4 linked regions of the Oreochromis niloticus genome follow. The protein of the gene in region 1 interacts with the protein of each later gene in a pairwise test. Links are inferred from orthologs where the notes say so. Each region holds a gene or a part of one and is shown in the gene's direction. Other genes may lie near its edges.

What was found.
Region 2: the proteins of nif3l1 (region 1) and cyclin-dependent kinase 4 inhibitor C interact in binary tests that used the Homo sapiens proteins (3 or more experiments, as listed by UniProt). The two-hybrid records come from large-scale screens. The link is inferred for Oreochromis niloticus from reciprocal best matches to the Homo sapiens genes NIF3L1 and CDKN2C.
Region 3: the proteins of nif3l1 (region 1) and natd1 interact in binary tests that used the Homo sapiens proteins (3 or more experiments, as listed by UniProt). The two-hybrid records come from large-scale screens. The link is inferred for Oreochromis niloticus from reciprocal best matches to the Homo sapiens genes NIF3L1 and NATD1.
Region 4: the proteins of nif3l1 (region 1) and rabac1 interact in binary tests that used the Homo sapiens proteins (3 or more experiments, as listed by UniProt). The two-hybrid records come from large-scale screens. The link is inferred for Oreochromis niloticus from reciprocal best matches to the Homo sapiens genes NIF3L1 and RABAC1.

Annotation. Positions count from the first base shown.
Region 1 is NC_031973.2:16,633,412-16,641,208, forward strand, and holds the start of nif3l1 (NIF3-like protein 1), read left to right. Parts: upstream 1-4,775; 5' UTR 4,776-4,875; exon of another isoform or gene 4,876-4,969; intron 4,970-5,961; 5' UTR 5,962-5,971; coding exon 5,972-6,557; intron 6,558-6,675; coding exon 6,676-6,832; intron 6,833-7,797. Other genes in the region: cabp5a (calcium-binding protein 5a), read left to right, coding at 50-80, 196-339, 481-590, 714-861, 948-976. UniProt on the Homo sapiens protein: May function as a transcriptional corepressor through its interaction with COPS2, negatively regulating the expression of genes involved in neuronal differentiation.
Region 2 is NC_031986.2:43,639,692-43,646,574, forward strand, and holds the start of cyclin-dependent kinase 4 inhibitor C, read left to right. Parts: upstream 1-3,877; 5' UTR 3,878-4,015; coding exon 4,016-4,288; intron 4,289-6,883. UniProt on the Homo sapiens protein: Interacts strongly with CDK6, weakly with CDK4. Inhibits cell growth and proliferation with a correlated dependence on endogenous retinoblastoma protein RB.
Region 3 is NC_031969.2:14,164,989-14,171,976, reverse strand, and holds the start of natd1 (protein NATD1), read left to right. Parts: upstream 1-3,985; 5' UTR 3,986-4,213; coding exon 4,214-4,313; intron 4,314-5,294; coding exon 5,295-5,413; intron 5,414-6,306; coding exon 6,307-6,423; 3' UTR 6,424-6,988. Other genes in the region: plectin, read right to left, coding at 1-282, 1,561-1,621, 2,131-2,150.
Region 4 is NC_031976.2:24,028,018-24,035,879, reverse strand, and holds the start of rabac1 (prenylated Rab acceptor protein 1), read left to right. Parts: upstream 1-4,854; 5' UTR 4,855-5,008; intron 5,009-6,366; 5' UTR 6,367-6,389; coding exon 6,390-6,511; intron 6,512-6,669; coding exon 6,670-6,882; intron 6,883-6,988; coding exon 6,989-7,086; intron 7,087-7,540; coding exon 7,541-7,642; intron 7,643-7,862. Other genes in the region: dedd1 (death effector domain-containing 1), read right to left, coding at 1,009-1,149, 1,655-1,783, 1,867-2,338. UniProt on the Homo sapiens protein: General Rab protein regulator required for vesicle formation from the Golgi complex. May control vesicle docking and fusion by mediating the action of Rab GTPases to the SNARE complexes.

The DNA of each region.
Region 1 (7,797 bases):
TAATGTTCATATTATACTGAAGTTAAGCAGTTATTATTTCTTTGTGCAGACAAGAGAGCTGGCTGATGATGAGATTGATGGTAATATTTTTTTGTTTTCTCATTTTTATGACTACGTCATTGGTTTTTACCTACATTTGTACACTTTGCACATTTCATTTTTTGATTTGATTTTTTTTACTTTAAACCTCTGCAGAGCTGCGTGATGCATTCAATGAGTTTGATAAAGACAAGGACGGACTGATCAGCTGTAAGGACTTGGGCAACCTGATGAGGACAATGGGTTATATGCCCACTGAGATGGAGCTGATCGAGCTGAGCCAAAATATCAACATGAACCGTGAGTCCTTAAAAAAGTGTTTGTTTAAAAGTTGAGTTTATTGAGGAATCCCATAGTTAGCGGCTGTTTTCATTGCTTTAATCTAGATTTGATGAGAGACAGAAAAGCCCACAGACATGTCAAACCTTTTTTCCCCTCTAGTCGGTGGCAGAGTCGACTTTGACGACTTTGTGGAGTTGATGGCCCCGAAACTGCTGGCAGAGACGTCTGGAATGATCGGTATGAAGGAGCTGAAAGATGCCTTCAAAGAGGTGAGATTGAAGAGCTTTTTCTGAAACTTTCCAGCTACCTGCCTTCTGGACTGCTAGATGGCGATCATTATCATCACAGCTGTGATTAAAAGCTGCTCTCTGCTGTTTGCTGCCTCTTGTTAGTTTGACATGGATGGAGATGGAGAGATCACAACAGAGGAGCTGCGATCAGCCATGATAAAGCTGATGGGAGAGCACATGAGCCGGAGGGAAATCGATGCCATAGTGAAAGAGGCCGATGACAACGGGGATGGCACAGTAGATTTTGAAGGTACAGACTGTCTTTTGCCTACATCAGTAAAGAGTAACAGTGCAGTGAAGTGAAGCAACTGATCCGCGTCTTCTTCTCCTTTGCAGAATTTGTCAGAATGATGTCCCATCAATGACAGTCCAGGACAAGGCCAGTCAGGAACATTCATTTGCACCTCTGCAAACACGCACTAACACTGATGCTGTTCTTTTCTGGGCTTGCAAAAACAACACAAACACAAGAAATGTTAAAATTACATGCTGGAAACAAGCAATATCAGACTGATCTCAGAGCGGATTTTATAGCTATGCAAATAATAACAATTTGTAATGATTTTTCAAATGTAAGAGTGCTAAAATAAAAAAACTCTGTTGTTATGTTTCATCATATATACCAGGGATGTCAAACTCATTTAGTTGATCCTTAGTGGGCAGTGGAAAGAAGTCTAAGTATATATTTAATCACTGAAATATCTTAATATAAGAAAAAGAAGTGCAAGTGTGTCTCAGTTTTTCCACATGATAAAGTAATGCTGCTGTGGTAAATGAAAGAAACCTCTCAGCGTGACTCTCTGGGCAAGATTGTGAGAAATAACTGTGTAAGTTTACAGAAAAAAATCAGAAAGTTCTTGTTACTTCACAGATAGTGTCCTTTTTTGTGGACTTATTGTAAAAAAATGAAACTTCTATAGTCAATAGTGAAAAAAAATGAAATTTTCTGTGTTTAATTGTTTCTCTATTACTTAATTACTTTGGTGTAGAATGAATGGGCACGAGGAAAGTCTTCATCAGCAGGAAAAAACTCCAAAACTTGTTACAATACATTGAAAAGTCCAAAAATGTATGCATATCTTCCAAAGGCATCTTGTGGACCAGATTGTAGTCTTTGCCAGGCCCACTCTGGCCCCTGGGCCTCATGTTTGACAACCCTGATATATACTGTATACAGTGGAAGTTTGTTGAATTGGAATTGTTTTTATATTTGTATTGTTATTGAATTATTCTTACCATTTAAACAATGTTACAACAAAGCAGGATGTAAAGTTAAGCTACTACTGTACTGTACATTATTAACCTGAGCTGGTTGTATTAGGTAATCTGTAACTAACTTCCAACAAGTGAAGCAGTAACATGGATCTGCCTTTCTTTGGCAAAGCACAAAATAAAACATCTGATCTGAACATCTGAAAAGGATTCAGGAGTATCTGTGGAACAAGAAAGTTCTCTGTGTCCGCCTGAAAGAAACCCACAGACACTTGACTCATTTAAGCGTAGACCATATTGTCCTTGTGACTTCTTGCATTCCAGTAATGTGCAGTCATTTCATGCCAGAAGGAAGTGATTTAAACATGAAAAAGTTTAGGGACTCTGTTCTACTAGGATTGAGTAAAAACTTTGGAAGGACAATAAGAAACTGTAACTGAAAAGAGGCAGAAATTTGGGATTTTGTGACTGATGCATAACAGATTTAAAGGTATTAAGAGCAAAAAAACCTCCCCCAAAACAAAAAAAGAGGTTCATGTCCCAGAATCTGTCCTTTTAGAGAGACAGTCTGAGCCATTATTTGAGGTTAATACTCTGTGTAAGTTGGGAACTTCACGGAAATATGGACATAAAACACAGAGAGGAGCTTAATAGTATTAAAGAGTATTATAACCCCATATCCATTAAAAAAAGAAAGGAAAAGAAAAGTTGAGTGAAATTTGTGGCACGTGAACACTTTCTTTTTTTTTTTTAACCTGTGGACTAAATCATTCTTGCAGTTGGTGATCAGTAATTGTGTCATACGGATCCAGAGCCAGCGCAGCTGGGATTAAATATTGGGGCTGAATTCAGGGATGTGCTACGGGACACACTGTACTGTCACATTTGGGGAACACCAGCCAGGCAGATGTTGCTGCATGACAAACTGGGCACAGCATCAAACAGACAGACAGATGGGGCATGAGGACTTATGCTGCCAATGAACAAAAGTGAACCTAATTACTAAACACACATCTGTGAGTGGTGCTCCACAGAGAGAGTGATCGCTCTGTCGGTATGCTTAATGGAAAAGTAACTAAATATCTCGTCTTTTATTACTATTAGTATTAATATTAATACTTTTATTTTGAAATGATTGTTCTTTTATGTGGATTGGGACTCAGAGAGACACTGAAACAAAAAAAGTGACATAGGAAAGATTTCACTGCTATTAATGGCACACTAATGTAAGTGAGGGTGTTTAAAGAGGAGGGTGGGGGGCACATTTAACCTTATGGATGTAGTGCCAAGCGAGGGCTGATGAGTCCAGAGGAAGAATCCGATGATGTAATGCTCACTGGCTGGCCTTTGCCCTGATCCTTCCTGATCCCTCTAACATCCAGCGTCAACCTTTATTGCATTAATCCTCAGTAATCTCTCTCTTGGTTGCTCTCAGACTCAATTCTGATGTAGCCTCTATACCCAGTGACTTCTTCTCAGCCAGACACATTAAAAAAACACAAAAAAACAAGCCTTACCATTTTAACTTATTGCACTGATAGCCCCTTCCCCAGGCAGATTTCATTTGGTTAGCTTTAATCTTTCTGAGAAGAGTCGGATGCACTGCGGGGTATCTGCTGCTGGAGCACCTGCCCTGTGAGAGTAAATACAGCTTATCAAAGTCATTCAGTTGTTGCTTGCTCACATTAATCTGTGAATTTGTTTTATAACATTGCGTACAGACAATATTGCATAACACCAGCGCTATAAACACCGAGAAGCTTGTTGTTGAAAAACACTAAGCCGAACCGTAACGACTTGAGAAATATTGTTTTTCTTAACTGTTTTTTTGGGATGCTCAAATGTTGTTATTTCATTATTCCACTGCTACAAATACTTCAACAAATCTGTTGCTATTTGCACTACCTTAACGGAAAAAGAAAGGACTGAGTGGGACAGGAGAAGTGAGTGATGAGGAAATTCTGTGCTTCTCAGTCTTACTGACGTCCGACCTGTAATAAAGAGATCAGTAAGCTGCTTCACCTTCAGCTAATTAACTTCCTCTTGGCCTCTGTTTGAAAAATGTGCACAAGTTTTGTTCCTTTAAATGAATACTGTAGCTAAACAGTGAGCCACTTGTGAATCTTTCAATGCGTCTGTTGTTTTCTTACTCTTTGGTGGCCAGCGTCATATTTTTTATGCTGTAGTGTACTGGGACAGCACAGCTGATTGACTCAATACGGTCTTAAGGAAATCCACTTCTGTCCTCTCAGTGCTGAGGAAACTTGTCAGCATAATGGACACAGCCTCTAATCTTGCATCAGAGTCACGCCAGAGCGCCTTCAGGTGTAGACTAATAAGACCTGGGGGTGAACTAAAGATGACACAGGAGGTCTTTTCTATCAGCGTCCAACAATCTGTGCAGCACTGAAACCAATTATAGAAGAGATGTACACAAATGCCAAACAGAGAAGGGGAGTAAAACTTACACCAGTTCCTCTTTCCAACAAAATCCAAACCAAACCAAATATATAACCAAATTTTCCCAAGCTGGAGTTCAACAAAGTCTTGATAATACTGTTTATTTTATTCATCGATGCAGATTCCTGAATATTAAAACCATCTTTCTCCAAATTTTATGAAGGATATGTGAAACTTTAAAAAGTCACAGAAAATGAACATTTACAAAGCTCTGTTTTTATTTTTTATTATTTATTTATTTCATTTGGGCTGAATTAATATCACTTGTAATTATGTTAATATTATTTATTCATTGTTATTCTCTATTTTCCTCTTTGTATTGTTGCTCATGCGCTCAGTCCTTCCTACATGTAAGTTGTAGTTTCTTTGTCGCTGGCGCAATGGCCAGTTTTGGGTAATAAATAAAAAACAAGAAAAAAGTATTACTAATTTATAATACTTACTTTGTAAGTTATATATATATGTGCTCATGGTCACGGCCAGAGACATAACTTGACCCCATCAATAAATAAATAAATTCATTCATTAAAGTAAAAAAAAAAAAAAGCTGCTGCGGACGGAAGCCGAAAAGGGACATCTTGCGAGTTCTGTAGTAAGTACATCCTCTGCCACTTCACCAGAATGTATTTAGCTAAAAACTGAAAACCATAGTGTTATTAGTTTTCATCCGTGAGAAACAAGCGACAGTAAGTTGAGTCGTGCACATATTGACATGCTGGTGTGGTGACGTTAAAGGACGGTTTACTGTGGCAGCTAATGGCAGCTAACTAGCTCTGCTGTTAGCTGCACGCTTTGCAGCTGTCACAACTCAAAGCAGCTGGTATTAAGTCTATGAATAATGTTTATAATAATCATAAAGTGCATGTGTGTGGCTTTTACTGAATGATTTGCTCCGGACTAAAAAAATGTACGCTTAAGAGTTGTAGCCGTCTGTTTGTATTTGTTTGCTAACTGTGTTTAACTTTGGATGGAGTCTGTAAGCGACGCAGAAACAACATCTGTATCCATGTGGAAATAGAAATGGAAAGGTGGAAATGCGTATAAAACCATACAAAACCGATCACTGGATTAAGTTACATTTTTTTCTTTTAAAAATGTCAGACATTCAGTGCATGTGAGATCTGAAGGCGTCAGTGTGAGCAGCACAGGCTGGGACTGAGAATAGACTCAGCATAGACAGGACATCTAATAATTTGATCAGGAAATCAGTAGAATCCTATGGAGGTATAGAGATTACAAAGAGGGACCACAGAGGGTTAAAGATGACACCATGAAGACATGAGAAAACGTTTTTGAAGCTAGATTAAGAAGAACACTGTGTGAACGATAGTAAGACAGGTGTGATAGTGAAGCTGCCAGGAGCAGAGGTATGTATGTGAAGGTAGATATATTAGACAAAAAATATTGAAGATGCAGCTGCCAGGCAGTAGGAGAAGAGGAAGACCACAGAGAAGACTCATGGATGTAGTGAAGGAGGTCATGCAGATGAGGATTTTAGAGCGAGGTGAGATGGAGGCAGATGATCCACTGTGGTGAACGCCTGAAGTGGACAGTGGAAAGAAGAAGAAGATGATAGCTCAGCAATTGTTAGTTTCAGCCTTGTACAAAAACCTGCCGTCACATATGAGTGAATGTCTGACATTTATGATTATTTAGTTATTTCTTTTTGTCCACACAGATCTCCCCTGATGTTGACTGGATGTAGAAATCTCTCTTGGACATTTTTCTCGCTCACCAGTAGAAGACTTTGGCCTAGACAGAGTTTTACGTCCCGAGCTGCTCTGTGCTCTTCTGCCTTTTCATCCGTCCTTCATTCTCTTTCTTCATCTACCCACAGTCATCACTTCCTGCCTAGCACACAAAGCTCAGCTCGCCTTCCTCCATCTTTTAATTTCTCCTCAGCTCATTCGTCCGGTCTGATGGAGTTAAAGGAAGTTCTGCAGGTTTTGGAGCAGCTTGCTCCACTGTCGCTTGCAGAGTCTTGGGATAATGTCGGCTTGCTGGTGGAGCCGAGCAAACCTCGGCCCGTTAAGACCATTCTTCTAACCAACGACCTCACAGATGCCGTCATGGAGGAAGCAGTGGCTGTGAGCTGCGATCTCATTATTTCGTATCACCCGCCGTTGTTTCGGCCAATCAAGCGTCTGGTTCAGAAAGACTGGAAGCAGCGGCTGGCTGTGCGGGCCGTGGAGGCTGGCATAGCGGTCTTTTCCCCTCACACTTCATGGGATTGCGTGAAAGGAGGCGTGAACGACTGGCTGGTTGGAGGACTTGGTGAGAAGTCTCTCTGAATGTAAAATGTGATGCTCGCACTTAAATCATTAGATATGAACATGATGCTTATTCACTGACCTTCATTTCATCCCCACTGCTTTTTTCTTTGTCGCATCAGGCAGCGGTCAGGTGTCGGTGTTGAGTCAGGTTCTCGGCGCCGCCTCCCACAGTCACAAACTGGAATTCACGGTCAGAAGCGCAGAGGAACTAAACATGATCATGGAGGAGCTGAAGGCTTGCGACAGTGGAACGACCCTACAGCATTCAGGCAGCAGGTTGTGTTCAGACATCACCGATTAGCAACAAGCTTTAAATTCAAGGACCATTTTGGTAGTTTTGTCATATATGTGTTACTTTTGTTTTATTTCTTCCAAACACGCATTATTGTAATTTGAGTTTAGCTTTAATCAAAGTTGGAAATCACCCACAGACACTTGAAGTCATCACAGGTAATCCAAAGCTGCTTTTGGACTATAACTATTACCAAAGATTTTTTTCAGTTTGCATTCGGACAACTTACAGAAACTTCAAATATATATATGTTATAAATTTTATTTCTTAGGGGTTGAAAGTAAGGCTGTGTTTAGCCCCTTTTCCCAACTAAAACTAAAATGTCATTATTAGGGTAAATATCAGGTAGTATGGCACTATGAACATGGATGCTTGAAGGCCTTAAAATAATTGGATATCCTATCACTGAAAGCATATTTCGAAGGCTGTAGAAACTGTAGAGGACTGATACTTTATTTACAGTTTCTCATGCATAAAGCACATAATATCCTTTTAAAACTAAGTCGGGTGAATAATTTCACACATACTAAAGTTTGAATATGGAAAAAGGAAAAAACAACAACATTTTGATCCAACTTCAGTGTGATTTTTCCCTATATAAGACACCATATTCCAAATCTAAATCTTTTTTTCTTGTTTTAGAAACAGCAAGTTTCTGTTAATAATATATCCAAACTTAATGATGGATTTCTCTTCTTCCTCCTTGCATATATTTGCAGATTTTTCTTTGTGTTTTTTTCCTCTTCTTTTTAAGCCTTGCTTTAACAGCTGTTGTTTACGTGGCTAATGTTTTACTGATGTTAATGTCACCTTTGTTTAGTGGTCGTTCGATTTATGTGTTTGACACTCACACCCGGACCAATCAGAATACACTTGCATCACTCAAAGTGGCTTTTAAGTTGGGGAAAGAAGCTTTTCTGTAGTTGTAAATCATGGATTAAACATGGGA
Region 2 (6,883 bases), on another chromosome or scaffold:
AAAGGTTGTTCACTCACTCTGAAGCAATGTGTTTGTGTGGTTTCACTGAGAGCAGAACAGGAAGTGTGACACAATAAAAGAGGAAGTGCTAAGGTACTCTTCAAAATAAAGGCGCAAGGTAAAGCGGCTTTGCCGGCATTTACAATTCATATTCTTCATTCAGGAAACCAACACTGACTAAATTCCAAAAAAAGAAGCCACACAGACTCTTCAGTGACATATTTTTCTTAAAAACACTTTACACAAACTATTCCATTTACAATTTAAACACACCATATTGTAAAAGCTTCCTACTGGTTGATATCTAAAAGTGGAAATTGGAAACACCCACAAAAGAAGAAGAAGAGTGACAGAACCAAAGAGAACAGAAAAGAAAAATGTAACAACCATCTCCTTTGTAGTTTTGTTGACTGCAAAATAAAGTCATCTAGCATGTTGTTTTTGTGTGTGGCTCTAATGTCAGATATTAAATAAATGCTCATTCTTTGAATCTAAATCTATATCAGATATTTCTTTTCACACTTCAAGAAACAATTAAAAAGCATGAAGAGCACAATCATCATCACTGAACACATTATAGCTGGCATTCAGTGAACCGTGTAGGCACTGTCTTTGAATCTGACTAAAGTCTGTGTAGGTTTTCGAATGTCTCACATTACTTGTTTGCAAACAGCTGGAAACTGTTTTGGCAGTCACTGGGACTAAACATAGCCGGAGCAGTTATGAACAAGACTCTTTGTCTTAACTGTAACTTCCAGTTGCTGTGGGTGTGCCTGGCTACAGTTTCCCGTCAGATTTGCATAGTCAGAACTTCTGGACAAATGAACTACACTGAAGCCGGGCATTCCTTTCAGCCCTAAAACACTTAAAACAACTGACACAGCACATCTCGCCACAATCTTCAGTTTGCATGACAAACCAAATCTGGGAGTGGCTGATGCATTCGTCTACATGCTGCAGAGAGGTTATACTTCCATCTAGACAGTAACAGCTGCTAAGCTTCTTTGATTTCTTAAGTGTGATTCGGCCATTTGGTGATGTCTCCATTCCCGTTCGCCTTGTATGCCTCAGACTTGGAACTACACAAATACATCAGAGATGAGCGGGAGCAGGAGTACAGCACAGATGTGTTGGATTTTGTGGAGAGGTATGGGAGAAATCCCAGATGTGAATAGGCCAGAGACATGGTGATGTTGATGTGATGTTGATGTGATGTGGGGTACTAGCAGTACCTGGGCATCAAGTTGGACAACAGGATGAACTGGAAGACCACCGTGAGTCGGTGTATACACAAAGGAGACGAGCAGGAAGCTTTAATATGTAAAGCAAAACTTTCAGTAGGCTGACGCGAGCGTAGTGTACTTTGCTGTAGCTTCTGGGGGAGCAGCATCGCAGTGTGCATGCCCCAGAGTAAAGCCTGCAAATAATGAACTTACCACTAAATCCCAGTTCATGAACTCTAACAGAGTGATTGCCTCTGGAGTATTGTCGATTCCAGTGCAAACCTGTGAGAAGAAAGCAAAACAAAAAATGAACTGCAAGTTTTATTACTTTTATTTATTGCAATGACACCTTGGATACACAAATGTGCAAAATAGGCTAAAAAATTTGTGTCATTTATAGTATCAAAGGATTATCATGCCAAAACGTGACCCAGAATAAACTAGGTGCATCTGTAGCTTTAATTATATTTTACTTTTCTCTACCTGAAGGGTAAAAGAAGTCATGTGAGATGTCCCTTCTATGGAGAAAAAAAACGTTGAAGGTAACTGAAGCTTTAAATCTAAAACCTTAGCATTTTTTTTCTTAAGGGAATGTGCATCGTGGCTAGAGGGAAGGTTGTAAATGCTCTGCTTCACTATGTAGCAGGGAACAAGGTTCTTAACCTGCTTCAGACGAGTTTATTAACTAATTAACAAATTAACAATTGTATCCCCTGCTCATAAGAATGACCCCAAAGAACATTTTCAAGTACTTGGGAATGACTTTAATGTAAAGAAGGAGACACTATAATATTTATAATAATTTATAATATTTAGCTTGCTAACAGCAAAATGTACACATCAGGCAGCTGGTTTGCCAGTTTGAAGAGACCATAATGCTAATTTCACAAGTACAATGCTTTACTTGTATAATAAGTTTATGCTTTCTGCGAGATTTGTTCAAACACACTCACCGGCCACTTCATTAGGTACATCTGCTCAACCTCTCCTTCAGTCAAAAATCTAATGGCATCTCAAACGGCAGCAACTCCGTGCATTTATCCATGTAGACATAGCCGGGTTATGTCTACATGACCTGACATAACCCGACCTGCTGACGTCTGAGCATCAGAATGAGTAAGAAAGGCGATTAAAGTCACTTTGAACGCGTCGTGATTGTTGGTGCCGGACGGGCTGGTCTGAGTATTTCAAAAGCAGCTGATCCGCTGGGATTCCCCTCAGAAACACGCATCTCTGGGATTTACAGAGACTAGTCCGAAAAAAAGAAAATATCCACTGCGCGTGAATTCTCTGCGTGAAAAGTCCGCAATAACTGTCCCACCAAATGAGGTGATCGGAGATGCACATCTTGTTACACGAGAGGGCGGCAAAGAAAAAGAAACTAAAAGCACACCGGCCGTGACGTTACAAAAAAAGACTTCTTGCTCCGTATCTGTAATGTAATAATAAAAGGCGCGCATCGTCTGCGCCAGCGCGTTGACGTTTCAAAACATTCACATGGACAATGAATGAAGGCACCACCATTATTACCGTCTTATGAAGTTCCGTTAACCGTCCCGCCTATGAGCCAATGAGGAACCGTCCAATCAGGCCGTCTCTTTGGAAAGAACGTCTGTCGTTGATGTTCACGAGCTCTGGATTCATCCGAGAGGTTTTTTTTTAAACGGAGAGGAGGCTCGCCTTACGGTGACTGCGCGATATTTCTAACGAAAGTCATCTCCGTGTCTCCTTCCCTCTTTCATCCTGTAACCCGTTAAAAAAAACGGAAATACAAACTCGAATTACTTTTGAAAACGAGCGGGAACTGCCAGTAAATGCATCACATGCTTGAAATCATGCGTGGAGGCGACATTTTATTTTTTTCTTTCTTTTCTTTTCTTTTTTGGCTGTTTTTCGGGGGGATTTTCAGCTCGAGTCGTTTGGAAAATGCGATGCCACGCACTGAACAGCAGGAGGAAGGCGTGCTATGGTTTTTATTTCATTTAACGTAAGTTTTTATATTTATCTATTTAATTATGTTGTGTTTTGTGCTTACTTTTTGTCATTCAGACATCATTGTCACAATTCTGGCTTTGATTGCGTTTTTTCAGGCTGCAGGTGGGTTACTGTATACCTGACATATAGATATTGTGAAAAGGTTCCATGGAGCTTTTCCCATAAACAGGCCCAAACATGACATCAACAAAATATCTGCACACAGGAAAATCAGCAGGGGAGCAGGAAAAAATAGGCAAAATTATTTTCTTTGAATATTCTAATTATGACCTACATGGAGTATATCAGTATCTCGGGAAGGGTGGGAGAGGCAGCATATATTTTGCTGCTGGACAAGCATAACATGCTCAAATAGAAGCTTTAAACATGTAATCAGTGTTGATTCTGACACACAGTAGAGCTGGAGATTTATTGCACATCTTGTTTTTGATGAGTGACCCCTAAACTGATTCTATTGAATTTTACAAATATATCATTAGGTGCCCAGTCCTTATGTAAAATACATGATGCATATAATCTAAACCTGTCTTATACCCCCTACATTGTTTTATTTGCTTTGCTTTTGTCTGTTTGTTTGTTGGCTTTTCTTTTTTTTTAGAATTGGAAACACAAAACTAAGAAAAGACATGACTGAAGAAAGAGATTTGAGAAATTACTGATTGCTCACTAAAATATTTGCAGTAAAAACCAAAACAAAGCATATATATTACCATCTAACTAATTATCAATAGGCTAGCTTACTGCATTAACAATGATTTTTCAGTAACAGCTCAAGAGCTGCACAGGTTAAGCCAAGGATGATGCAAGGGTGGGAGGGACATGTTTCAGATTTCTCTGTATTTGGCCAGTCCACCATCCTGGATTATTTCAGTCTTAAACACAGCCTGCTGAAGTATTTAGGTGATAAGTTTGCTTGCTTTGTATTGCGTTTTAAAGGGACACCTGATATGAGTCTCTCTGACCAGCTCTGCAATGCCTGTGCAACTGGAAATCTATTAGAAATCATAACTCTACTGCAAAACGGAGCTGATGTAAATGGAAAAAATGTGTTTAATAGGACTGCAATACAGGTAAGTAATAAAAACCTTTTGAACTGGCTTTTTTTCCGAAGTGATTTTAAACATATTTGGATGATTTCAGTCTGTTTTGCTTGCTAGCAGCTTGATTTACTTCCTTGTTTTAGTGCTTTGTGTTAGAGGCCGAGGCCTCCTCACATGTACTCTTCAAATATCCACCAGCTTCGATAATGTCATCATTATACTAAATACAATCGTCTCAGATCGATGTAAATATTTTTTGAAGTGCAGAAATCTGCGTGTGGCAGTTATAAGTTTGGACTCTCCAAAATAGATTTAAGTGTAGTGAAAAAGATAAACAGTTTACCAAAAGTCTAAAAAGCTGTGCTGAAATTCATGATTTACTATCAGATTTGAATAAATGTATATGTTAATATAAATACATATGTGTGTATGAGTGTGTTTTATGGAGTAATAAGATGTTCTTTTATCACTTCCTTAGTTTCACAATTTATTTTTCAAATGCAGATTTTGTACTTGACTCAGAGAGAGTTGTAGGTTTTTTTGTATCACATGAAGTAAAGAATAAACTCGTGTTCATATTATTGTAATTAAGAGAAATCAGCAAATACGAAGCAAGATTAAAGTCTGAAATTGTCAGTGGAGTTAAGGAGCAACAAAATGGTGGTGTTAAGGAAATGGTGGGTGAGGGTATTAGCTGTTAAAAATAACCTGGATTTATTCAGATGTACGTTTTTTGCTTTAGGACAAAATATATAAATTGTTCAAGTCTCTTAATTTTACAAGAAGCGGAAAATAAAGAATAAGTAATTAGTGGTTTATGGCTGTGGGCAGAGGTCTGAACAGATCCTTTGTGTCTATCCAACACCATGTTTGGGAGAAAAAGTCTTAGTCTGATTTTTGTTTTTGTTTGTTTTAGTGAAAACTCTTTAAGTAGCAGCTACATTTCATCATAAAGTAGGGCACAGAAAAGAAAGCACACTGATGAAGCATGAGGCAGACAGACAAAGGGCGCGCCCATTTGTACAGAAAACAACCAGAAGTTCTGCACATTATGTGGTCAGCTTCCATCCAAGTTTCATGTATGAACTCTCACTTTTATTTTATACTCAGTTGAATATTAAACCATAGATAACTATGCACAGTCATTGGGGGGGGGGGGCATAAGTGCTTATAATTAATAAATAAGTTGCCCACAGTAGAAAAGCTTTTACTTGCTTATCTTGTCCTCTATTGCGTGCCGTCCTCCTCTTGTCTGTCATTTATTCTTGGTGTCCTACTATTTCTATTTTTATTCCATGTACAATGAGAATAAAAGCCTATTCTGTTCTGTTCTGTTCTTATATGCTATTTATTTATTTATTTAAACACCAACACGCTAATGCAGATGTCTGTCAGATCAAAAATCAACAGAATTCTACAAACGCATCCATTTACACAGAGAGGTTGGTACTTTGCATTTGCTGCTTCTACATTTATCTCAAGAAAAGGCAAAAAAGAAAAAGAAAACAGTGTCACTCTGCATGTCATGTTACACTTTCACCTTCCTTACTGCTCAATCTAGACAAAGGAGGGCTGCTATATCCTGAGCTGCCTGCTGTAGTCCTCTTTATTTCTCTGTAGATAAACTTTCCTTTCTCTTGGTTTTGTGCTTTAGTTATCAAATGCAAAATCAATATCACATGTGACAATTAAGTATCAGTATTACAATAATCCATATTGTATTCACACATTTCTTCCTTTTTTTTTAAATTGATTGAAACAGGTTTTAATAATCCTCCATCTATCCATCTACCTCCTTCCTCTCTTCCTCACTTTAGCGAGGGCGCCTCCAGATAAATAATACCAATAAAAAAATAAAAAAAAAATTGGGTATCGCACCAAAAACAGAATTTCCATTCTTTATGCTTTTGTCAAATATAGGTTACTTGAAAAATATTGAAAAAAGAAGAAAAGAATTCTATGCTTAGTTAATTTCCTGCTATTAAAGATATCACTGAAAAAAGTACATTTGAAAACCAAACAAGATTTTGAAATCCATAAATATCTGTTTTAATTGATTGATTGATTGATTGATTGATTGATTGATTGATTGATTGATTAAGAGCAAGAGTTACCATTAAGAGCAAACCTGTTCAGAAAGTCAAATAATCATATGCTAGCAGGAGCAGTTTCCCGTGACTAGAAGGCCTGTTTTTAGCGGAGGCAGCGGAGAGATTTAAGTAGGAAATCCAGTCTCGTGAAAATGAGCCAATGGGCTGCTGTCAGTGCTTGTAAGGCCTGCAGCGGCCCCAAAATGCGTGGGCCCAGCGTGAAAAATGCCCGGTTTGCCAGATTATCAGCCCGTGTCCTGCTTGGATCTGATTTTAAGCGTGCTTGTTTTTATTTATTTTTTTGCTCATGCACTGTCTGAGTGACACACGAGGTTTAATATGAACGATCATATTGCGTGCAGGCCTGCAGTAGAACGGTCCACTCAGAGAGAAAGCTCCTCCTCGTTGGCCGCTCATCCAACATATCGTGTGCTCGCGAGTTCATAATTATGCAAAATATTTTTGGAAATTCATACATGCTGACATGTTTCTCACCCATCTGTCCCATTACTTTCACTCTGGCAGTATAACTCAG
Region 3 (6,988 bases), on another chromosome or scaffold:
GGGAACAGCAGAGAGGGAGGTGGTGTGGAGGGATGAAAAGCTTCGGCTGCTGCAGAGGCGGGGACCTGCTCTCGCTGTGTGGGAAGCTTGTCTGGCAGCCGGGTGGCCAGCAGAGCCCTGGTGGCTGAGGCTGCCTCTTTTCAAACTCCCACCAACTTTACTAACAGCTGCAGTCAAGTCGCTGCCTCTGCACAGGCTGCTGCTCCGTCCGCTGCTGACACGGGCTTTAGAAACACTGCTGCCGGCCTGCTTCCCTCCAAGTGCTGGTAGTGATGTGAGGTCCTACGTAAGTGTGTGATAGAGAGAGAAAACAGAGCTTCAGTGGTTGTGTGAGGAGAAATCAATCACAAAATGATGAAGTTCTGCATGTTTTTCACTTATATCTCATGTTCACCCTCCCATCCTAACTTCCCCTCTTTGACACACACAATGAAGAGGGCCATTTAATCCTGATCGGAGCTTTTAATTTGCTTAAGAACCATCTGACGACACTGCAACCATGAACACACACACACAAGCTGTAAACTTAATCACACTTGAGCACACTGGGAGAGCCAGCAAATCTAGGCGGTCTATTCCAGTCTCAGTAGATGCAACCTCACTAACTGCAGAGGTAATGAATCTGCGGCTGGACCTCACGACAGAGAAATCAATTAGAAGATGCTCGACTAAGTCCTGACTTGGCGATATGTGCAGGTCTTAACTGCACCACGTTGATCTTTAGCCATTAATGGCTACATAAATCAAAATCAAATGCGTGAAAATCTCACAAAAAACAAAAAACATGCACTCAGTCTGAGGGAACTGTCCGTGGTTACACAGTCTGGGTTATCTAAATAGAACAAAAAAGAGGCGCACTTGCAACAGAACGGCTCGGGTTTTTTTACATGATAAAGAAATGTTGCTGTAGGTAATGAAATACATCTGTTAGCACGACTCCTTGGGCTTAAATCGTAAGAAATAAATGTTACAATTACAGAAAACATTCTGCTAGCTTGTTGTCAAGACTGCCCTGTAATTTTAAAACAAAACATTTTGGTAATTCACAGAAAATTTCTTATTAGATTTATTTATTTTACAGTGAACACATTTTTAAAAAATTCGATTGTAGATAGTGAAAAACACAGGAACTTTTCTACAATTTCATTGTTTAGCTATTACCTAATTACTTTGGTGTAGTGTGAATGGCCGTGGGGGAGTCTTTATCAGTAAGACAGATTGTAAAATTCATGGATATACAGTTAAAAGTCCAAAATTTATGTGCTCCTTAACATTTTCCAAAAACATCCAGTGGACTGGATTCGAGTATTTGCCGGGACACTTCTAGCCCCCAGGCCTAAGGTTTGATAACCCCTGATGTAAGGTATGTAAGGAAGGGTTTAAAAAGGATGAGACCAGTGTCCCGTCAAACCTAATTACAATATTTAGATGTTTGTAAATGACTTGTTGGATTATAATCTGTAAACATATTTTAACATATAATAATCCCTGTAATTACATCTATAAAAGCAACACTAAACGGTCTTACTGTGAGTTTTAAACCTGTCCGTTAGCACTTACCTTTCCCCCTTTCTTGTGTGTGGGATTGTTAGTCTTAGTGTTCATCAGGGTCTCCTGCCACCTGCGATAGATAAGATTAAGGCAGCTTCACATAAATCCTGGCAACAGGCAATCTGCACTTTCCCGAAACACTTATTTAATGTTATTGCTTTATTTGGTTACAGTTAAAGAGATGATCTATCTCTTTACTTCTATACAAAGATACTACCTTTCTTTTTCATATTACTAGTTTTGCAACAGTTGCACTGATATCATACTTTACTTATAAGAGAGCTGTAAGGCTTGTGAAATAAACCCAACAGCATACAGCCAGTGATGACTGCTGCTGGTCAAAATGATAACCTGTGCAGATACTTTTATTCATGAAGACATAACATACCAAGTAAACAGCAAACATCAAACTAGGTTTGATTTGATGAGGTTAACAGGCATAATGAAAGTCTGCTGAAGTTTTTATTTTAACTGAGAAAAAAAGCCAAAAATTAGAACTGTAGTATAAGGTACATTTAGTTTATACCTGTCTTCATATCGACTTGTTTTAATGTAATAAATAAGTAAATAGGTACCTACCTTGGCTTCTTGGACATCATTTTCAGTCATACAAGGTTAACACCCTGACAGAGACTAACTAAACGCGAGAACTTTTGGCTCACATTGTGATCTGTCTGGTAGATGTGAGCTCTGTTTTACTCTGGCAAGATCACGAGAGAGAGAGAGAGCAAATCACATACAGGTCTGTACCACAGAGTCCCAGAGAAACACACCACATGCACACACACACGTAATCCCACAGCGAGTTGGCAAACTCCATTAGAGTTTTGCAGGATTAGGTCGACAGCTTAACTGGATTACTACACAGTAATTTTAGTGAAGTTAATGTATTGGCTTACATTGTCCTTATAGCCTACTCCTGATGTCTGTCAAGTATTCCTCTCACATGAGCACAAGAGTATAGTGGAGAAAAACACACACGCTCAGTTTGTGTCCTGGGTTATTGTCCGCTGACTGTACGCTTGACGTGCTGAAGACGCGCCTGCCACTGCGAATCCCTGAGCTGTGACCTGACCTGAGCTATCAAGAGCAATTTCTCAGACACAACACTTGTCTGGATAAAATCCCTTCTTGTGTGCAAATGTGCCATTTCCCTCTTAAGGACAAATTCTATATCTGTTAATAAACATATTTTAAAATATCACACCATGAAATGAAAGCTAAAGTGCCATAAATTAGTCGTACAGGGGGAAAGGTGTAACTGTGATACAGTTATAATAATAATAATATCTTTATTTGTACGGCACCTTTTTAAAAACAGCTTGTGCTTCACAGTTTGCATAAAATCACACATTTAAGATGAGTGTACAAACATATTGTGAAACACAAGCTCTTACATTAATTCCTACATGCACACTTCAGAGTTTCAGCAGCTGTTTAAAACAAATCACAGATGCAGCTGACCTGAGAAAGGCTGTTCCAATCAAGTTTAGGAGCTACAACCACAACAGTGTAATATATATGATATTGAATATGCAATTCTGATACACTTTTACAAACCTGTTTTCTCTGTACTGGAGAGAAGAGAAATGAAAGTCAGTAGAAGCAAGACAGAATACGTGTGTGAATGAAAGGTAGACAGGTGTAATAGTGAAGCTGGAGGGAGCAGAGGTGGTGAAGGTGGATGAGCTTAAATACCTGTGATCAGGCATCCAAAGCAACAGACAGTGCATAAGAGAGGTGAAGAAGAGAGTGCAGGCCAAGGCGGAGTGGGTGGAGACAAGTGTCAGGGGTGATTTAAGGTGTTAGTGTAGCTATGATGTGTGGTTTGGAGATGTTGGCACTGACTAGGAGGGACAAGATGAACAGGATTAGAAATGAGTATATGAGAGGGACAGTTCAGGCCGAGCGGTTTGGACACAAAGCTAGAGAGGCAAGGCTGAGCTGTTCTGGACATGTGCAGGGGAGGGATAGTGGGCGGAGGAGGAAAAGAAAAGACCTCAGAGACCTCATCCATGAATGAGGGCATGCAGAGGGTTGGTGTGACAGATGAAGATGTTAGGGACAGGGCCGATCATTTATCAGTTTAAATTGACAGATGAACCGATCAATATTTATAGCGATTGTGTTTAGATACTTTATACTATACCTATTCCTACCAGAATTAAACAACAAAACTTACATTTCAATTCTCTTAAAATTTATTTTAAAATAATAATAAAGAAATAAAGTAGCAAAAATATAATCATTCACAGGGATTGTAAAAAAAAAAAAAATACAAAATGAGCAGAAAAGGTACAAACGAAACCGTGTAAGCATGACAGCAAGTTCTTTTTATAAGACCCACTTTAACAGGTCTTTAACAGACATAACTGTTTATGATCCCACGTCACGTGAATGCAGCATATGAAACGTTTGCGTTCGGAGTCAGACAGTTGGTTTTATCGTTTCTCAGCAGGCGTTTAGAGTTCTCGAGGGGAGTTTTCTTACAAAGCCGCTCTGTTTTCGCCTCTCTGAAGACGACGCCTGCGATTGGCCGCGCGTCACGTGACCTCACAGCTGATTTCGTTGGATGAAGTGTTTTGCTTTTGTAGCCATTTCTGGTTAGCAATCCCGTAGGGTAGCGTAGCAGTCATTGTTGTGACTTTTTAACGGCGCTACTATGGCACAGGCGGCACAGGCTAATGCCTTTGATGCAAACAACTCTCCAATCCGGGTGGAACACGATAAGAAGCGTCGGCAGTTTGTCATAAGGCTGAATGGTGAGTTCAACATGTAAACATTAGCGTGCCAGCTGATGCTAGTGTTAGCTTTCGCTCTTGCTAACGTCGTCGTTGCTCCTTTATTGATACCTACAGCTGCCATTTCAGACACAGATGGCTGCTCACATATAGACGTAGCTTGTCTTCTGACCTTACCTCCATTACCGGTGCTTTACTTTTCTTTCTTTGGGGCTAGACCAAAGTATTTGGCCTCCAGACCTCAAACCAAGTATTCAAATTTGAAAAGCACACAATCCCAAATACACAAATTCCTGTATTAATCTTCCAAGTAAAACTCCTTTGTAGCAAAATACCTGCCCCTACTGTTATATTAAGATTCAAACACCATTTCAACTTTCCAGAGTAACCATTTTATTTGCCAGGCCTCCAAATGTGCTGTGCTACTTCCTTTCAAGCGTTCAGCTCAAGTGCTTTAAACATATTTTAAAGTTTTACACTAAGTCTCCTTCGTTTTAATAGATATTAATCCTTTACGACACACTAATATTACTGTTTTAAGTGTGTCAGTACTCGTGTTTGTCCTGGTCAGTTGTGGGTCAGCTGTTAAGAGGAAAATGGTGGAAGCCATTGTTGTGCTGAATGGAGATGTTTATCTTTTCTTCACCCAGCAACACGACCCTTCCTCCACAAGGGCATGCCTGTACCTGGCCACTCGTGCCTTGTCTTTCTCAGCAGCCATGTTGCAGCGCTACATGCAAATTAAAATCTGCTACCACACCTTAATAATGTAACTGGGGCGCTTAGAGTCAGCTTTAAAATGCTGAAACGTTGAAGTAATTGTGGGATAAAACTTGTAGTGTGCAGGGTGGCAGGCTTCTGCGGTTTCTGTTCTTTGTTTGTTTTTTTTGGTCATGTTGTCAGGTTGTTATGTCATGTTTGTAATCGATAATTAGTAAATCTTAGCAATAGTTGAGGTGAAGACCAACCTATGCCAGAGATAATATTTGTGTTTGCTCTTAGGATCCCATGATCGTGCGGTCCTTCTGTACGAGTATGTTGGAAAAAAGACGGTGGACCTGCAGCACACCGAAGTTCCAGATGCTTATAGAGGGAGAGGAATCGCCAAACACCTTGCCAAAGTAATTTTTTAAACCCAAATTTTGTGTTTGTTTACGAAACAATGCTTAGGTAGGCTCTGGCAATGCTCAGTTGGTATTAAGGTGCCAAAAGTGTGCCAAGAAAATATCCTCTACACCATCAAACCACTATCAGGCTGAATTGTTGACGTAAAGCAGGGCGGAGCCATCCTTTCATAATGTTTACACAAAATTCTGACCCTACCTTCTCAATATCACATCAGAGATTAAGACTCTCATCAGACCATCAATGTTTTACTAATCTTCTGTTGTCCAGTTTTGTGAGCCCGTGCAAATAGTAGCGTCAGTTTCCTGTTCTTATCTGATAGCAGTGGCACGTAGTGTGGTCTTCTGCTGCTGTAGCGCTTCTCCTTCAAGGTTTGACGTGTTCTTAATTCAGAGACGGTCTTCTTCATACTTGAGTTTTAATTACTGGTTATCTAAGTTGTAACTATTGTCTTCTGCTCAGCTTAAAACAGTCTGTGCATTCTCCTCACAAGCCAGTTTCTCTTAGATTATTGCCATTCTCTGTAAACCCATAAGATGGCTGTGTGGGAAAATCCCCATAGATCAGCTTGTTTTTGAAAATCTCAGATCAGCTCATTTGACACCAGGAACATTCAGAGTCTCTTAAATCAACCTTTCTTCTCTATTCTCATGCGCGGTTTGAATTTCAGGAGGTTTCCTTGATCATGTTTACATTCCTTTTTGAGGTTCTGCCATGTGATTAGCTGATTAGATATTTGCATTTATGAGCAGCTGAAAAAGTGTACCATACAAAGTGGCCGGTATATTAAGCTGGTACAGTGAGAATCGAATATGTTTCCACTTAAATCATTGTCCTAGGAAAAGCCAGATGATTTTGATGTGAGCTGTTATGCACCATGTCATTGCAGGCAGCCATGGATTTTGTGGTGGAAGAGGACCTGAAAGCTCACCTGACCTGCTGGTACATTCAGAAATACGTGAAAGAGAATCCTCAGCCTCAATACTTTGAACATATTTACCAATGATCCTGCATGGCGGTGAAGGAAGGTGGCAAAATGGACTCCAAGGAGAGAAATACTGCGTGGCGGCATGCTTTGGAGTTACAGGAGAACACGCGACAAAGGACCTTCTAGGCATGGTTAAACACAACACTGACTGAATCCAGAGAAATAGCTGAATCTCGAACCATAGACGCCTGTGAGCTGAACGTTTGATCAACCGATAAGACAGCTCTCTGCATAAACATGAGGATACACACTGGCCACAGGCAGGAGGGGAATCAGCCTATCACGACTTGTACAAACAAAGCAACCAAAGGTGAAGCCTGTTACCTCAGACAGAAACTTCCAGGACCCAACACTGACAGAGCAGATTTGAGTCAAATGTTACAGTGTGTTGCAGATTTCTGTCCTCAACTGGACTCACTGGTCATGAGCAGCAGTACGAGGTGACCACCCCTGGTGTTTTTGTCTTTGACTCCACTGATGCTCAAATACTCGTGTCTTTTTTGTTTTATGTAAATTGCAACCTCTCTTTTTCATTTTTTTTCCTATTCTTTGCAAATAATTCAATTTAACCCCTTCTTCTCAA
Region 4 (7,862 bases), on another chromosome or scaffold:
TCTACTTCCTTCGAATCGTTAATCTCCGTTTCTACCCGTTTATGTTTCTACAGTGGAATCACCAAGATGATCGCTTTAAAGTCTCTGGGTGATGGTTTTGTATCTTTGACTTACATTGTCAGCTTTGTGTTCATACCTAAATACTAAGAGAAAGATCACATTTGTCCTCATTAGGATTTGTGTTAGTGTGTGAGGCTGTATTGTTAAGAGGTGAGTATGAGACAGTGAGTTTTAGATCATTTTACAGAGTAACATTAAAGTAATGTAACAAGTAGTATAACAAATGTCTTTCTCCTGGGAGTAATTAAATAACGTACTGCATTACTTTTAAGAAAAGTGTTCTGTGTAATATGTGCAACAACTTTTTACATTTATTTTTTTGAGTAGTGACCCCAACACTGATCACAACAAAGAGGGGAAATGCCTCCAACACGCACAAACATTTCACCACGTAGTTAATTACATACGTAATTAATTTGCATGTATTTGATATGCTGCTTAGAGGTGCTGGCGACTCTCAAAGTGGAGGCAATGAGAAATCGATAAGGAACCGAATCAATAAGCAAAATCGATAAAGAAATCGGAATCACTAAATTCTTATCAATTCCCATCCCTACTGCTATTTAACTTGTCCATTTCTCCTAAGTCTATAAATAACATGTCAAACTGTATGCTAGCTTTTAAACACTAATGTTCTTAAGCATGAACTTGGTGTTTTTATGCATTTTGGTGTGACAACGAAAAAAAATTTTTTTAATAAAATTTTGGCATTCCAGATTTAGCATAGATAAACAACATCAGAATTGACGAAACTAAACAGGAAATATGATGATGCCAGGGAGGTGTTAATAGGCTGAAAATTATATTCTCGTCTGTTTAAAGAAGGAAAAATGAGCAGCAGGGGTAAATAGCAAGATGAAGGTACCACAGAAGACAAGAGAAAAACCAAAAAAATAAAAATAAATAAATAAAAGAAAGACACTTCGAGAATGCATGAGTTGCACTTACCACAGGACACTTTTTGTGGCGCTGGTGGTGGAGGCAGAGGCAGACTTTCCCTGCTTGTTTTCTTGGACTTACGGCTCCAGCCATTTCCCCTCTTCTTCCTCCGCCTACTTGCACATGGCCCAGCCACAGGAGTGTAAATACCTGAAACAAAACATATTGACTAAGTTCAGGAGTCCAAGACAAAAAGAACTGCAAAGGACTATTTATAGCTTTTCATCCAAATTTTACTGCTCATATTTGATCACAACTTTCAACAAGAAAAATTCCTGTTAAGATCATGGTGTGTACACAATGTTCTTCCCCACACAACACACCGACCAAAAAAAAAGTTTTAACCACCAAAAATTATTTTTAAATATTATTATTTTAATTAGGGTAATAATCACTGACATATAATAATAGTCAGAAATGCACAAAAGGCACCGATTTATGTGGGGAAAAAAAGTAGCAGCTTCATTGCCTTAATGGTAGAGGGACACATTTTGCATATAAGCAGAGTCAATCAGGGCAAAGAAGGCCAACTCTGAACCACAAAAAAATCTGGCACACACACACACACACACGTTTTCAAATCATCATTAATCAGCTTGAAAACACTTAAGACCGTACTTCGGGTTGGCCAAATACTAAAGAGCAGTAAACTTACCAGTTTCTAATTGATGTGCGAAAGATGTAAGAGGAGTTTCTGTCTCCCTGCAGCTGCTACTTATTCCAGAAGTACACACCGACTCCGTGCTTTCTATCTCATACCTCTGTACAATTCTCTCTGGAGAAACTGAAAAGCATAAAAAACACACAACACATAATGGCAAACTATTTGAGATCAACTACAGCAGGACATAATCTCAAGATCCTCACCTGTCCTCCTTTTCTTGTGGGACACTAAGGGTAGCAGGTCATGACGGGTAAGGACTCTTAGAAGTTGCAGTAGTGGTGCCAGGTTTCCATCACTAAGGTATCCTCTCCTCTCGAGCTGTAGCAACAGCTCAAGGCCACTCTTGGGTTTTGGATCCAAAAAGGGCTGCTGTGACACCGTAGGCTTTAATCGCTGCCATGCTTTTAGCAGCTGTGGACTTGGGGCCACACCTGGATCATCTGGATTGTCCTCACGGGGTTCAACTGTCCAGCCTGCTGGATCGAGAGGATGTGTTGCGGAGCAAGTTTCATTCAGAAGGAATGACAGGACTTCAATGTCAGTCTCTGTCAGCTGAGAACCAACTACTTCAAAGACTTCATGGAGAGACAACATCCCATAGTAGTTGAGGCACTCTGTTTCATCCCAGTACAGTGAATCCCTGAGCGGGTACCCTTGATGATGCACTGCAGCCATGGTCAGGATTTGGTTATGGACCTTTCCCACTTTTCAGCCAGTGATAAGACTACAAAAACAAATACAAAAACAATTACTATTAAAGGTTTTTAATGTCTAACAAGATACATCCGACTAACCATATAAACCAGATAAGTAGGGTTAGGTACTGAGCTGGTACTTTTGAGGGAACTGACCAAAAAATGTCAGTGCTACTGTTAATCAGCACCAAATTCTGGTACCAGAAAAAAATCTGGGTTAGTGAAAGAAAGAAAGTAAGTGTCAATCCTGCTACAACTGAAGAGGAACAAATGACAGGGCAATGGTAGTGGTGGAATGCTGAAAGCATTTTCAGGTGTGGTTACATGTTTCAAAACTCTCTCTGACACTTGTAGCGCAAAGTCCAAAGCAACACATCTAATCTGCATTTACACCTGGTCAAACAAAAATAGATCTAAAGCTGAAGAGTGTGCCATATTTTCTAGCCTGAAAGCCAAATTCACCAGAGGTCCTGCAGCTTTAACTCTAGCGCAACTGTAGCCAAAGTATAAGAAATCGAACCAATGGATGACAAAGCTTTTAGTGAGACATTGACATCTTCTTCAGGTAATAACTAGGTAGCTGGACAAGATGTCAGATAAACAGGGCTGTTTTCACTGCATTTGTTGACATTTTAACTTTTCAGCTGGTCATTTGCGGCAAGCAAACACCTTATGAGTGATGATATGTCCAAAATATTATTATCTAATAAATTGCCAATAATAGCACAACAACATTTTACACACCGCCAGCTGCCTCAGCTGTGAAAATGACCATCAGTGTTTGTATACAACAACATTAAACAGCAACGAAATAAAATGTTTCAACTGAAAAGTATGGACTTATTTTGTATGAGAAACTTTTGGATTTAAAGTATAGGGGGGAAAAGGTAAAAACGCCAGCATCAATCATCAAATGTAAAAGATAGTGAGCCCCACCCAGTGTACAGTAATATATTGGGATTTTTTTTTTTGCACATCTAAAAAAATTACTTTTTAAACAAGGTTACTGAAGGTGGAGTTAATTAACTAAAGACTATAATATATTTACTAAAGGACGTGGCCAAACATAACAGAAAAATTCATGTAGAGTCAGGTTTTCTTTAACAATTAGTGGATCAAATTGTCCGTATGTGCATAGTCACCCTCCCCTAAAGGCCTGTTCTGAGCTAGGAAAAACCCTGTAATCTATGTACACATAATGGATTGTACTTAGCGTTCCTGTAAAGGCTGCAATTCTCATTTAACAGGTTTGACCTCGAGTTTCTTCCATGTTCTATACTCCTACTTTTATTGCATTACATACGTAGCACTAAAAATGTCATCTGTGTCTGTTTAAGCTATAAAACGCTGCTCCAACAAAACGGTCAGACAAATCCCGTGTAGCTACATATAAACTGTATTTATCTATAAAACCCAGCAGGCCGTTTGTGCTATGTAACACAGTCAATGATCATGTTGGCGTAATACTGCAGCGTTACGCCCGTTCTCTAGTCTACAACCATTATATGGCTGCATCAGCTAGCTCAGCAGTCCTTGCCATTTTCACCCTCAATTCGAAACATTTTTTTAAACACGTAACGGAGGACCCCCTTATAACCACTTTGTTTCCATTCAGGTTCAGTAACACACACTAACCAGTTGGAAGCCAAAGATAGTAGCCGTTCTTCAGACGCCCAGTAACAACCGGTGAAGCAAAATTTTCCCCTTTGACAAGTTATGTAACCAGTCACGTTTGTCTGTGGAAAAAGCATAACAAACATCAAGAAGTGCAATGCAAAAAGCGGTTTAGCCAAATAACAAACCTGAAATTAACAGGTGTGCTACATTGCTAAATACGTACTGAAACACATAGGATTAACTATACGATTAAAAAATATTTTTTTTCCTCTGTATGCATTAGCGATACATACAAAGGACAGAAATGGATATCGCTTGCTAGCTCCTAACGTTAACTTACTTCAAATATAAATTGGCTGTAGTATCGACGAGCATTGGGTCACATACATGAAAGCGTGAAAAAATGCACCAATAGATAAATATTCAAAGCATTTTAACGCGATAATATTCAAGAAAGCCAAAGTAACTAGGGGGGACTCACCTCCGAGTGGGCTGAATGATCTAGTAACTTCCACAGCAACGTGCAGTTCTGCACTACGTCAACGCGGAGGAATTGACCAATCACAGCCCTCTGACTTCCACGGCGACGCCCAGTCACGTTTTTGCTCTCGCTGATCTGCCAGTCTTCTTTTGAACTGATCTGAAGACAGTTTTTCCTAAACAGTCACTTTGTAGTATTGAGCAAGTCAGTAAAGACAGCTGATTCAAGGGCGCCCCCTCCCCCTTTTTTAAATTTTACTTTTTTTGTCTTAGCTTCGACGTGAAAAAACAAAACAAAAAACAAAGCAGCACTTTAAGCGAGCTTTGCTGCGAAGTGTCCATAAGCATATAATCACAAGAATATATGTACTGCTGCAGGCTACACCCAAACATAGGAGAGGGAAAACTGCTGGATGCTGTCAGTAGGTGGCGGTGTTTGGAACCAAGGCAGCTAGGAACAACAACAAGGAAGGCAACTAAGAGCCACATCATATCCGTAAACTAAAACAGCAACAAAAGGTCTGAGGCAGTCCCGTTAAACTCATCTCCTGCTGTGAGTATATGTAATTAAACCATTGTAAATTTGGCAGTTGATATCGTTCATTTTTATTTCGGTTCATTTTAATTAGGTGTGTAAAGTTGGGGTACGATAAAATCATAAATCCGCTTCGGCTGGAGTGGTTGTTAGCAGAGAAGCTAACTGCGACAGTATTTGTACAACCAAGAGCTATTAAGAACAACTGGGAGATATGATGGACTATATACCGGGGTTTAGAAATGCCATTCAGTTAGGATACTTAACTGATTAAAAATAAAATAAGTGAGTATTCGCTGGAAATTGTGTTGTGGAATATCCGGGCGTAAGTTTAGTGATGTGGCATTGACCAAGCCCTCTTGCTGACGAACATTTTCCTCTGCCTACTGTTGCTAAGCTCGGTCTTTTGAGTGTTGTTTCTTCAACCTCTGGGAATGACAGGATTGAGAAATGCAGGAATATAAAAACTGGTGTTGGTCACGAACTTCATACACTGGCTGATCTATGTATAAATACCTTAGTTAAGAATTTATCTGGAGATAAACAAAGAGAGGGAATCAATTAAGTGGTGCCATCACGGCGCCCTTCTTCTCCTTTTGACTGTTCTCTTTAGGGGTAACCACAGCAGATCATTTCCCTCCATCTCACTGATTATATCCTTCACCACATCCATGAACCTTCTCTGAGCTCTGAGCCTCCACTCCTTCCGGCTTCACTGTTACGTCTGCCTCACTTTCAGTCACATGTGTTCTGTCTTACTTCTACCGAGTTTCATGCCCAGATTTTGGTGTTATAATATGATGGTTTAAAACAACTTATGCTGCTAAATATAAATGTCTAATGGGAGTCAACATCATAAGTATGTGTAAAATTGCATAGCAGTTTTTTGTGTGTATATAAAAACAAATTGGCACCCCTCAAATAAATTTAATCTCTTTTGCTAATTGAGGTTTATTATAGTCAAGCTTAAAATACTTTTTTTAATGAGCTTCTCAGGAATAACAAAAAATGAAAGGCATTGACAGCAAAAGTATGAACCCTAAATGTAAACCTATATGAGTCTTACTTTGTCCACCAGTGTTGTTGTGTAGGGGAAGAAAGCTTTTTTTTTTTTTCTTTCGATATTATCTTGAGACCAAGTCAGTTTGCTTGTAGTGGGGTTTTTTTTTCATCTTTTGTCTTTTTGAATCTTGAAGTTTTTACATTTTGATGAAAATTTAAATTTGATAATGAATCAAAATAACTGCCTAGATAAGCGCCTGGTGGCATTTCAACATTTCTGTCCATTGGGGAGATTTGCTTGTAGAGGGACTTGAGAATTAGTGGTGGAAATGTTTTACAACTGGTATTTACATTCTGTGTTTTCTTCCTTGCAGTTGTCTCACAGCAGACTGTGTACATGCCGTCTGGAGTGCCAAAGGGGGAGAACTGTCAAGTGGACATGGACAGCAAGGCAGGAGATCTGTTCACAGCTGAGGATGCTCATCCCACAGGCACAGGAGGCACAGGAATCCTGGCAAAGTATGAGTTAAAATGTGTTTGTCTATCACAGATTTATCACACAGTAGAACTGACATGTGCTTCTGCATCTGTCAAACCTGCTACTAATATTGTAAGCTTACTGAGCCACCAAGTGATAGTATAAATTTTGCACGTAATGTCTTCATCTTATTTCGTAGGCTCTGGCTTCCCAAAGGCTTCTCAGCTAGCATGGCTAAAGAGTGGTTCGACAAGCGCCGATTGTCCATTCGACCTTGGGCCAGTTTTGTAGACCAGCGCAAGTTTTCAAAACCCCGCAACTTTGGAGACTTGTGCCAGAGGGTGGTGAAGAATGTGGAAATTTACAACAGCAACTACACCTTCATCTTCTTGGGGCTTATCCTCTACTGCATGTAAGCCCAAAAACATGACTTTGTTAGGAGCTCATAAATCTGTTTTGGCCAGTGAGAAATGGAAAAAGTAATAAATGATCGAACTGTTGATGTTTCCTCTTTTCAGCATCAGCTCGCCCATGCTACTGATCGCCTTGGCTGTGTTTGCCGGTGCCTTTTACATCATTCACATCAAATCTTTGGAGTCTAAACTGGTTGTGCTTGGTGAGTAAAAGTGTCTCAAATAACTCAGACACCTTCACATAAATACCTGCTTGTTGATTCACCGACAAATAATATAAATGTTTCTTGGGCAGCTGCTTTTAGATAAACCTAGCTTGAATAATTAAACATCAAATTTTAAGTTGGCTATCTTTATTCATCTATTTACTTATTTATTACCACCTTTAATTTTTTGTGTATAGAAATGAAATCAATGGATTAATGAAGCGATCTATTGTATAATTTTTTTTTTTCCCCAAAATTGTTGTTCTCTACTATTACAGTTCTCAGTAGCAATAATGTAACTAAACCACAAAAGGTCTCCTTTAAAGATGTCAGTTTAGTGAAGAGTAAGCTAAATTTATGTAAGGAAAATAAAACATCTTCATTTTTATGGAATCTTTAATTGCTGTCATAATTTATGTGTTCTCAAACCTTCAATTTTAATGTGAACCAGGCCGAGAGCTGAATACGCCTCACCAGATGAGTCTGGCTGGAGCCGTTTCTCTGCCTGTGTTCTGGTTGGCCGGAGCTGGAGCTGCCGTGTTTTGGGTTCTTGGTAAGCCAAACCACATTATACTTCTTCCATGTTACTCTTCTGAATCTTTGTTTTAAAAAAAAATATCAATAATTCTTATTGTGTTTTTCTGATTTTGGAAATATAATTAAACATATTCCACTGCTGTCTGCAATGCTAACATCTCTCTAATAGTGGAACCTAAATCTTGTTCATGCATTTGTAAGAAAAACCTTCTTCTTTGTTACTTTCCCTTCACACC